2 linked regions of the Mus musculus genome follow. The main gene of each other region encodes a partner of the protein of the gene in region 2 in a complex. Links are inferred from orthologs where the notes say so. Each region holds a gene or a part of one and is shown on either strand. Other genes may lie near its edges.

What was found.
Region 1: the proteins of Timm10 (region 2) and Timm9 are in contact, whole or in part, in a crystal structure (PDB 2BSK), measured with the Homo sapiens proteins. The link is inferred for Mus musculus from reciprocal best matches to the Homo sapiens genes TIMM10 and TIMM9. Residues at the interface, in NP_036588.1 of Homo sapiens: Glu16, Met17, Asp20, Met21, Arg24, Ala28, Cys29, Lys32, Cys50, Arg53, Cys54, Ser56, Lys57, Tyr58, Asp60, Ile61, His62, Arg64, Met65, Gly66, Lys68, Leu69, Leu72; in NP_001291414.1 of Homo sapiens: Lys15, Leu18, Gly19, Tyr21, Asn22, Lys23, Thr25, Glu26, Cys28, Phe29, Leu30, Val33, Asp35, Phe36, Thr37, Thr38, Arg39, Glu40, Val41, Glu45, Thr46, Glu50, Leu53, Leu57.

Annotation. Positions count from the first base shown.
Region 1 is NC_000078.6:71,134,179-71,137,927, forward strand, and holds the start of Timm9 (mitochondrial import inner membrane translocase subunit Tim9), read right to left. Parts: upstream 2,498-3,749; 5' UTR 2,377-2,497; intron 796-2,376; exon of another isoform or gene 781-795; intron 1-780. Other genes in the region: 2700049A03Rik (protein TALPID3), read left to right, coding at 3,662-3,749. UniProt on the Homo sapiens protein: Mitochondrial intermembrane chaperone that participates in the import and insertion of multi-pass transmembrane proteins into the mitochondrial inner membrane.
Region 2 is NC_000068.7:84,825,566-84,829,314, reverse strand, and holds the start of Timm10 (mitochondrial import inner membrane translocase subunit Tim10), read right to left. Parts: upstream 2,295-3,749; 5' UTR 2,168-2,294; intron 1,717-2,167; 5' UTR 1,673-1,716; coding exon 1,602-1,672; intron 1-1,601.

The sequences.
Region 1 (3,749 bases), on a different chromosome or scaffold from region 2:
TGTTCTTAGTCCCTGCATAACTGGTAATGTGATTCGAAACCTTGAGGTTTTGTCAAAGCCTTTCAATGGATAGAACTATAGGGATATGCTAGGAAACAAGAGATACCACCGTCTTCAAGCACCTCTCTAGGTTATTTATGAAGAATCTGTTCCTCTCATTGTTAACATAGACAGTTACCACCATAATTAAATGGGTCAATCTAGCATCACACAAGGTCCAATGCTACCACTAGGAAAAATTCCCCGCTGCGACGCTCTAGGGCACACACCATTACTTTAGTGGCATTCTGGTCTAAAAATATTGGCTCTTTTTCTGGTCATGAAGGAATAATTAGGAAAACCCATAGTGTAGAATAGCTAAGAAAACTAGACTAGTTTTCAAAAATAAGATGAGGAGCTAGAGAGATGCTCAGTGGTAAGAGTACTCGTAGCCAGGCAGTTAGCGCACACCTTTCATCCCAACACTCTGGAGGGAGAGGCAGGCAGATCTCTCAGTTTGAGGCCAGTCTGATCTACAGCCGAGCTAGCTCAAGACAGGCAGAACTGCACAGAGAATCCCTGCCTCAATAAATAAACCAACCAAGTACCCCTCAAACAAGCAAAACAACAAAAGAGTACTCATTGCTCTTGCAGCAAGTTAGGTTCCCAGTATACACAGCTCACAGCTGGCAGGAGCAGTTCCAAGCAAGGGTCTGCAACTCCTCTCTGGCCTCGTCAAGCACCAGGCAGTCACATGATACATATACACACATGCATACAAGCACGTGTGGTGGCTCATACCTTTAATCCCAGCACCTGGGAGAGGCATTCAGATCTCTGAGTTCCAGGCTCTCAGCAGAGGAGGAGGGAAGGGAGGGAAAGAGAGACAGACAGACCACTTCCAGCTGTGGGACCTGGCCTTTTAATGACATAAGGCAGCTGGCCACTCTCGTAACAATAAAGGCAATTTTTAGATAATTAAGAAAATCTAAATGTCATCTAAGTGTGATAATCTTTGCAGACTGTAATGCCCTTTAGGAGGCACAGGCTGCAACAATTAGGGCTCAAGCTCATGATGTCTGAAACTTATTTACAAATGCTTCAGTGAAACAAAGTGTATCTACAGATGTATTTAGGGAAGGGTGAGGGGAACTTGATGTGAAAATGAGGTGGGGGGGAGAAACATAGTTAAAAAAATGTTGACAAAAAGAATAATAATCCCCTAAACTATTTTTTGTTCAGAGGCTATAAGTCAGTGTTTATTTTGAGAGTTCAAATACTTAATAGAAATTTTTTTATTTTATTATCTTATTATTTTTCACATGATCCTTTAGATTATTTGCAGGTTTAGTTAGGTTGTGGGATGAACAGACAAGGTTGTTTTTTTTTTTTTTTTTTTGTCTTTCTCTCTTTCTTTCTCTCTCTCTCTATCTCTTTCGACAGGGTTTCTCTATGTAGCCCCAGCTGTCTTGGAGCTCTTTGTAGCTAGGCCTAAAGGCTGCCACTACACCCAGCATTACAGGCAACTCTTAATTAACTCAGTGTTAATCATAGCTAAAAGCACTTGAAAATGAATTCCTATTGTTTCCCGATTCAAAGTCTAGCCTCAAGGAAGATGAGAACCACGCTACTTGGGGGGTGGAGTCCCAGGTCTGACATTCGTTACAAATTATTTACTCAGGTCACTTTACTGATTGCTGTTGCAGTTGCTCAGCGTTTTGAAATTAGAGGGGAAAGGTCATTTTTTTTCATATCTAACTTTTATATAGAAATTACAGAAGTTAATTCATCCCTAAGGTCTCTTGCAGCTCTGACATTGCCATTCGGTCTTTTAATACACTTATACAACAAATCATGAACCAACAGATAAATCTACAACAAGAGAAAATGTAATAGGTAGAAAAATGATTAATCTATTATACTTTAAAAAAATACATTTTAAAAGCTTCTAGCAAGGCGTAATGGGAAAGCTCTAAGCAGTGCGTTCTCCAATATGAGACCTGGGAAGGGTGCGAGCCCTTGTACCTAATGACATAAGGCATAGTGTGCAGACAGGGTAAGAGCCGAGGAAGTCTAGATTTTCAGTAAAGGGGCTCCTGTCTGACAGCTCAAGGTCATCGAGTGGCTGGCTACCTTGTAATCTCAAAGCGTGCCCCCAAGCGATCCAGTCCCGGGTGGGCGGTGTCTCGGGGCCTAGGGTCCCCACCCTCGGGGTGACAAGGCCTCCGGGACACGGCTGGCCTCCCGCTGCGCCGCGCTGCCGGTTGCGCAGCCCCACGACCCGCGTGCACGCGGCGTCTCCCTCCGGGGTACCTGCCCGCTCCCTTTCCCGAGTGAAGGCTGTCACCCCACTGGCCGCGAACCCGGGATTATGAAAGCAGAGGAAAGGGACCATACTTAGCCACAGGATCTCGCCTCTGACACCGGGACCGGGCTGAAGAGCTGCGGGGCAGGTAGCGTGTGAGCTCGGAGGGTCAGTACAGAGCGAGCGCCGCGCCGCGGAAAGCTGAGAACACGTGGGGGCAGTGATGTCAAGCATGGCTTCAGACCCTTAGACGCAGATTCGTTACCACGTGGGAAAATGTAGGAAGAAAAGCAAGTGCCCAAGCAAATTCTAAAAATCATCTAAGAATTAACTTTTGTGATTATCTGTTCGTCAGTGCTCTCTGTACTTTTCACTTCCTTTTCCACGGCAACGGAATCTGTCGAAATTTCTAGAAAGCCTAATATGCTTAACCTACTAGGTTTCTAACGGTCTGCAGTTCCTACAGTGTAAATAACCCTTGATAAACAAAAGTGTTTATGGGCTAATCGAGAATTCGCCATTCCTCTAGGAATACTTAGTACTGTGTCCAAACATAAAGGCGATATTCTGCCTTTAAAAAAAAAAAGTCACATCTCCTGGCAGTCTTTTATGTTGGGAGTTTGTTTCCACCCGGACACGAATGGAAGAGCACCAGAGCACTCCCGTTCCGGTCGGGGGGGGGGGGGTTGGATCTTTGCGCGCATGCGTGCTGACGCTCAAGGGCGGGTTTTCGGGGAAGACGGTATTGACCCGCGAACAACCGAAGCTGTTATTCTATCAAAATCAAGACGGCGTGTGTGCCGGACTCTGTGGAGACTCTGAAGACTAAGTTGAGGTGTCCGAAATTGCGTCCTGACTCGTAGAAAGAAATCTACTAAGCTCTTATGAGGGTGGTGTTTTAAAAAACACGATTTTAACGTTGCCTGCTCGTCTGGGTCTCCTTAACAAATCCTAACCCCGCCTCCACGTCTGTTGGGGTTTTCAGCTGCAGCTCTGGGTTTGGAGGAGTGCGTTTTTATTACGGTTCCCGTGGCTTCTCTTTTGCTCTTGGCATAATTCCTTTGAAATTTATTTCTTCGATGCATTAACAGACTCAGTGGGATCAAGACTTTTTGTTTTGTTTTGTTTTTTGTTTTTGTCGTATTTAGCCCTGGATTAAATGTCAAAATCGAAATTTACAGCTTTATGGATATTTTGCCTATAGACTTTCTAAGTTAATGACTGCTTCATAATTATTTTTGGAACTCAGGTGTTTTTCAAATTCACTTCCACCATTACTTCTTTTCCTGGTACTCAAGGAGAAACTGCGTCCTTAAGTTTTGAGAAGCTAGAATTCCCTCTGTTAAGAACGGCGGGACTTGATTTGTGACTAACCAGATGAAAAACGTTGAGTTTAGCCTGGAAAGGGGGCAAAGGCTTAAAATGCCAGCGAGGAAACTGCGAGAGATTGTTTCTCCAAACCAAG
Region 2 (3,749 bases):
CTGCTGGTTCCTGTATGATGTGCTAATGCTAGAGGCTTTCAGTTTAATATTGCAATGTCTTTATGGAGGGAGCAGTGCTTCTTAGGTCAGTTTTACTGATGAGTAACCAGTTATGACATTCAGCCTAAAGACACTCAGCTGCTGATGGTGCAGCAAGATGTTTCCAAACGGCTACAAGCAGTAGTTTGAAGTCAGGCTGAAGTTCTGGTCCTGACATTGCTACTGACCAGCTACAGCCCCTGAGATTATTAAACCCCTTGACACCTCAATTCCCCTGTGTTAAAATAGTACTAATAAAATTAACCCACTGATTTTCTTTCTTTCTTCCCTTTCTTTCTTTTGAGACTGGTCTCATCTATCCCAGGCTGGTTTTGAACCCACTATATAGCCAAGAATGATCCTGAACTATTTAGTCTCTGGCCTCTAACTGCTGAAATTATAGGCACCATGTCAAGATCAAACCAAGGGCATCCTGCATTCTAGACAAAAATCCTACGTTATTATATCCCCTTCTCCCTTTGAATTATTTTTAACTATTTACAAAACTGATAATGGGGGCCTGGAAAGTGGTTAAGAGAACTGACTGCTCTTGCAGAGGACCTAGGTTAGGTTCCCAGCACCCACACGGTAGCCCACAACTATCTTTGACTCCAGTTCCTGGAGATATGATGCCCTCTACTGGCCTCTGCGGGCATGCAAGCAAAACATCCATACACAGAAAACAAGTAAACAAACAAATAAATAAATTTAAAGTGATAATATATATAAAATGCTTTGCAAATGCCTAACACAGAGTTAAAGTATAATTTAGGCCGAGTGTGCACACCTTTAATCCCAGCACCCAAGAGAATGAGACAGGTGGATCTCTGAGAGTGAGGCCAGCCTGGTCTATACAGATTAAGCTGACAACCAAGGCAACACAGAGAAGCCCCATCGTGAAAAACAAGAACAAAACAACATCCACTCCATCCCCCCCAAAAAGGAAGAAAAACATTAATAAATATTAGCAACTAAATACTATTCATTACTAAATGGCTGTTCAGAAGGCTTAGGCGGCAAAGGCACTTGCTGCCAAACCAGAAGATTTGAGTTCAATCCAAGATGAGATCCTATTAAGCTGCCCTCTGACCTCCACATGTGTGGCGCTATGGCATGCATGTTGGCATTCATAAACAAACACAAAATACATAAACTACATAAACAAGGGTAAATGGGCTATCTAAGGAGAAAGAAAGATGGAAACGAGGAGAGAAGAGAAGAGAAGAGAAGAGAAGAGAAGAGAAGAGAAGAGAAGAGAAGAGAAGAGAAGAGAAGAGAAGAGAAGAGAAAGTGCTTATATGTTCTTGATACTCAGCAGAGCCTGGGCAGGAGATTCTCCATCATACACCCCTTTTATTCCCTCCAAATAGCCAACCAAGTCCTTCCAGTGACCTGTATTTACTTCAGCGAAGCACGCGGTGAGGGTGGGGCGGGATTAGGAGGGCGGGACTTGGCTCCACTACCTTATCGAAAGCATTCGTTACAAGTGCTTCACTCTGTCGGGCTAGGGGTGACTAGGGCGAGTTTTCCTAGACAAGGTGAAGCCGAGTGCTTCTCTTTACCTGTTGTACATGTCAGCCATCATCTCCACCTCCAGCTCCGCAGCCAGCTGCTGGGCTCTGAGCGGATCCATGTCAACTTAGCACCGTGGAGAGAATAGCCTCCTGGTCTTTAGTCCTAGGAGCGGACATGATCAGTCAGCATCGATCCCTCCCGGTTCACCCTAGTACCACCCCCCCGGGGGGGCTGGAGGGCGCGAGGAATTACAGTGTTTCAGACCAGCGGGGACCAATACCCCGCTCAGTAAACGTAATCAGCCCTCTTAACAGAAGTGGAGATGAGGCCCTTAAAGAGGACAGTGTCCAGCTCAAGGTCACTCGCGATGTCATGGGGCTCGGGGATGGAAACCGAGCCCTCTTAGTACCTCGAGATCACTCCTAGAGCCAGAGGATTGACAGTTGGGACGGAACACACAAAACCGTGGGTCTGAACCCATGCAGCCCCGAGAATGTGACCCTAACCACAGCCTAGGTTCCCGGGGTGGGTCTAAAGGCTGAGCCTCTGTCACGGCAATGGCATAATCAGGAATCAGGGTTACCCTGGGTATCAGACACCACGGCCCACTCACCACGGCCTGGGGCAGGTCACAGCTCCCGCAACGTCCCCAACTTCGGGTCAATAGTAAAAAGTTACCGGGTACCAAGGCAGGCGAAATAAGAAGCACGTGGGTCACTTCCGGAAGGAAGTCTAGCCTCTTCTTTGATCCGGAAGAAAACGCCGACCAGGCTGCGCTGGGAAACCGGCTACCATAGAGAAACCGACCTTAATTTGCTAGAGTGGACTCCAAAGTACCATAGAATGCTGAGTGAGTGGCAGAGCGCCGGCAGCCTTGTTAGCATTCCATCCCTCCGGTTGTCCGGGAGACGCCTGAGCGTTTGCAGTGTGGAAGAAGCTTGGCTCCCTGAACCCACCATGGAGAGCCCACGCCAGAGCGCAGACGGATCTTATGTGAAGAAAGGAGAACGTTTCCCAAAGGAGCCTGTCAATTTTGCATGTTAAAACACCTGGAGCACTTTAAAAAAAAAAAAAAAAAAAAAAAAAAAACACCTCAGCGCCCAGACGTTACCTCATACCCCTGAAATCAGAATCCCGGGGAGCAGTGTGCAACATTAACTAGTGGAGTTGCAGAGAAGATACACGATCGCTGCTCGCAGAAAAAAAGAAACATGTATAGAGATTGTCTTTATTTGCTTTTGAGGCAGGGTCCCATGGAACCTAGGCTGCTCTCTAATTTGCGGTGTAGCCGAAGATGACCTAGAACTTACGAACCTGCCTCCACCTCACTAGTGCTTCGGCTACAGATAAGCGCCATTATGCCTGACTTTTGCAATGTTGGGATGAAAACAGGACCACATGCTTAGGCAAGCACTCTATCAACTGCCCCAGTGCTGCAACATGTTTTACTGCACTTCTTTATTATAGCCCTACACATGCACAATAAATAAAGTAAGTAAATAAATAAATGTAATAATAAAAAGCATTGGGTTTATCCCTTTAAAATTTTATTAGGGCAAATTCACAACACAGAACACAGTCTAATGAACGTCATTGAATCTATCCCCAAGATTTAATAATTCTTACTATTTAGTCACATTTTCTTGATCTATTATCTTTAGCAGATGAAGTCTTTTTCCCAAAGTGCTATTTTCACATTCTCAGCTAATAGTGATGTTTTTTTCATCTCTCTTCCACAGTGCTGAAGGTTGAATCCAGGGTCTCATGCAAACCCTCCACAACTGAACTACACAGGTCATTTGATATACTATTTTTAAATTTAAATTTATTTATAAGAACATGTGTCCTTGGGCTGGAGAGATGGCTCAGTGGCTAAGAGTACTGACTGCTGTTCCAGAGGTCTTGAGTTCAATTCCCAGCAACCACAAGGTGACTCACAACCATCTGTAATGGAATCCAGTGCCTCTTCTGGTGTGTCAGAGCTACAGTGTACTCATAGATACAGAAAATAAATATATTGAAGAAGGAGGAGGAGGAGCCCATGGTAGGATCAAAGGAGGTCAAAGGACAACTGATTCTCGCAGCAACCAGAGTGATGTAAAAAACAAACAAACAAACAAACAAACAAAAAAAAACCCTACAACTGGATCATGTCACTCACCCCCTAGATGCTGCAGTAGTTTCTCATCATGGAG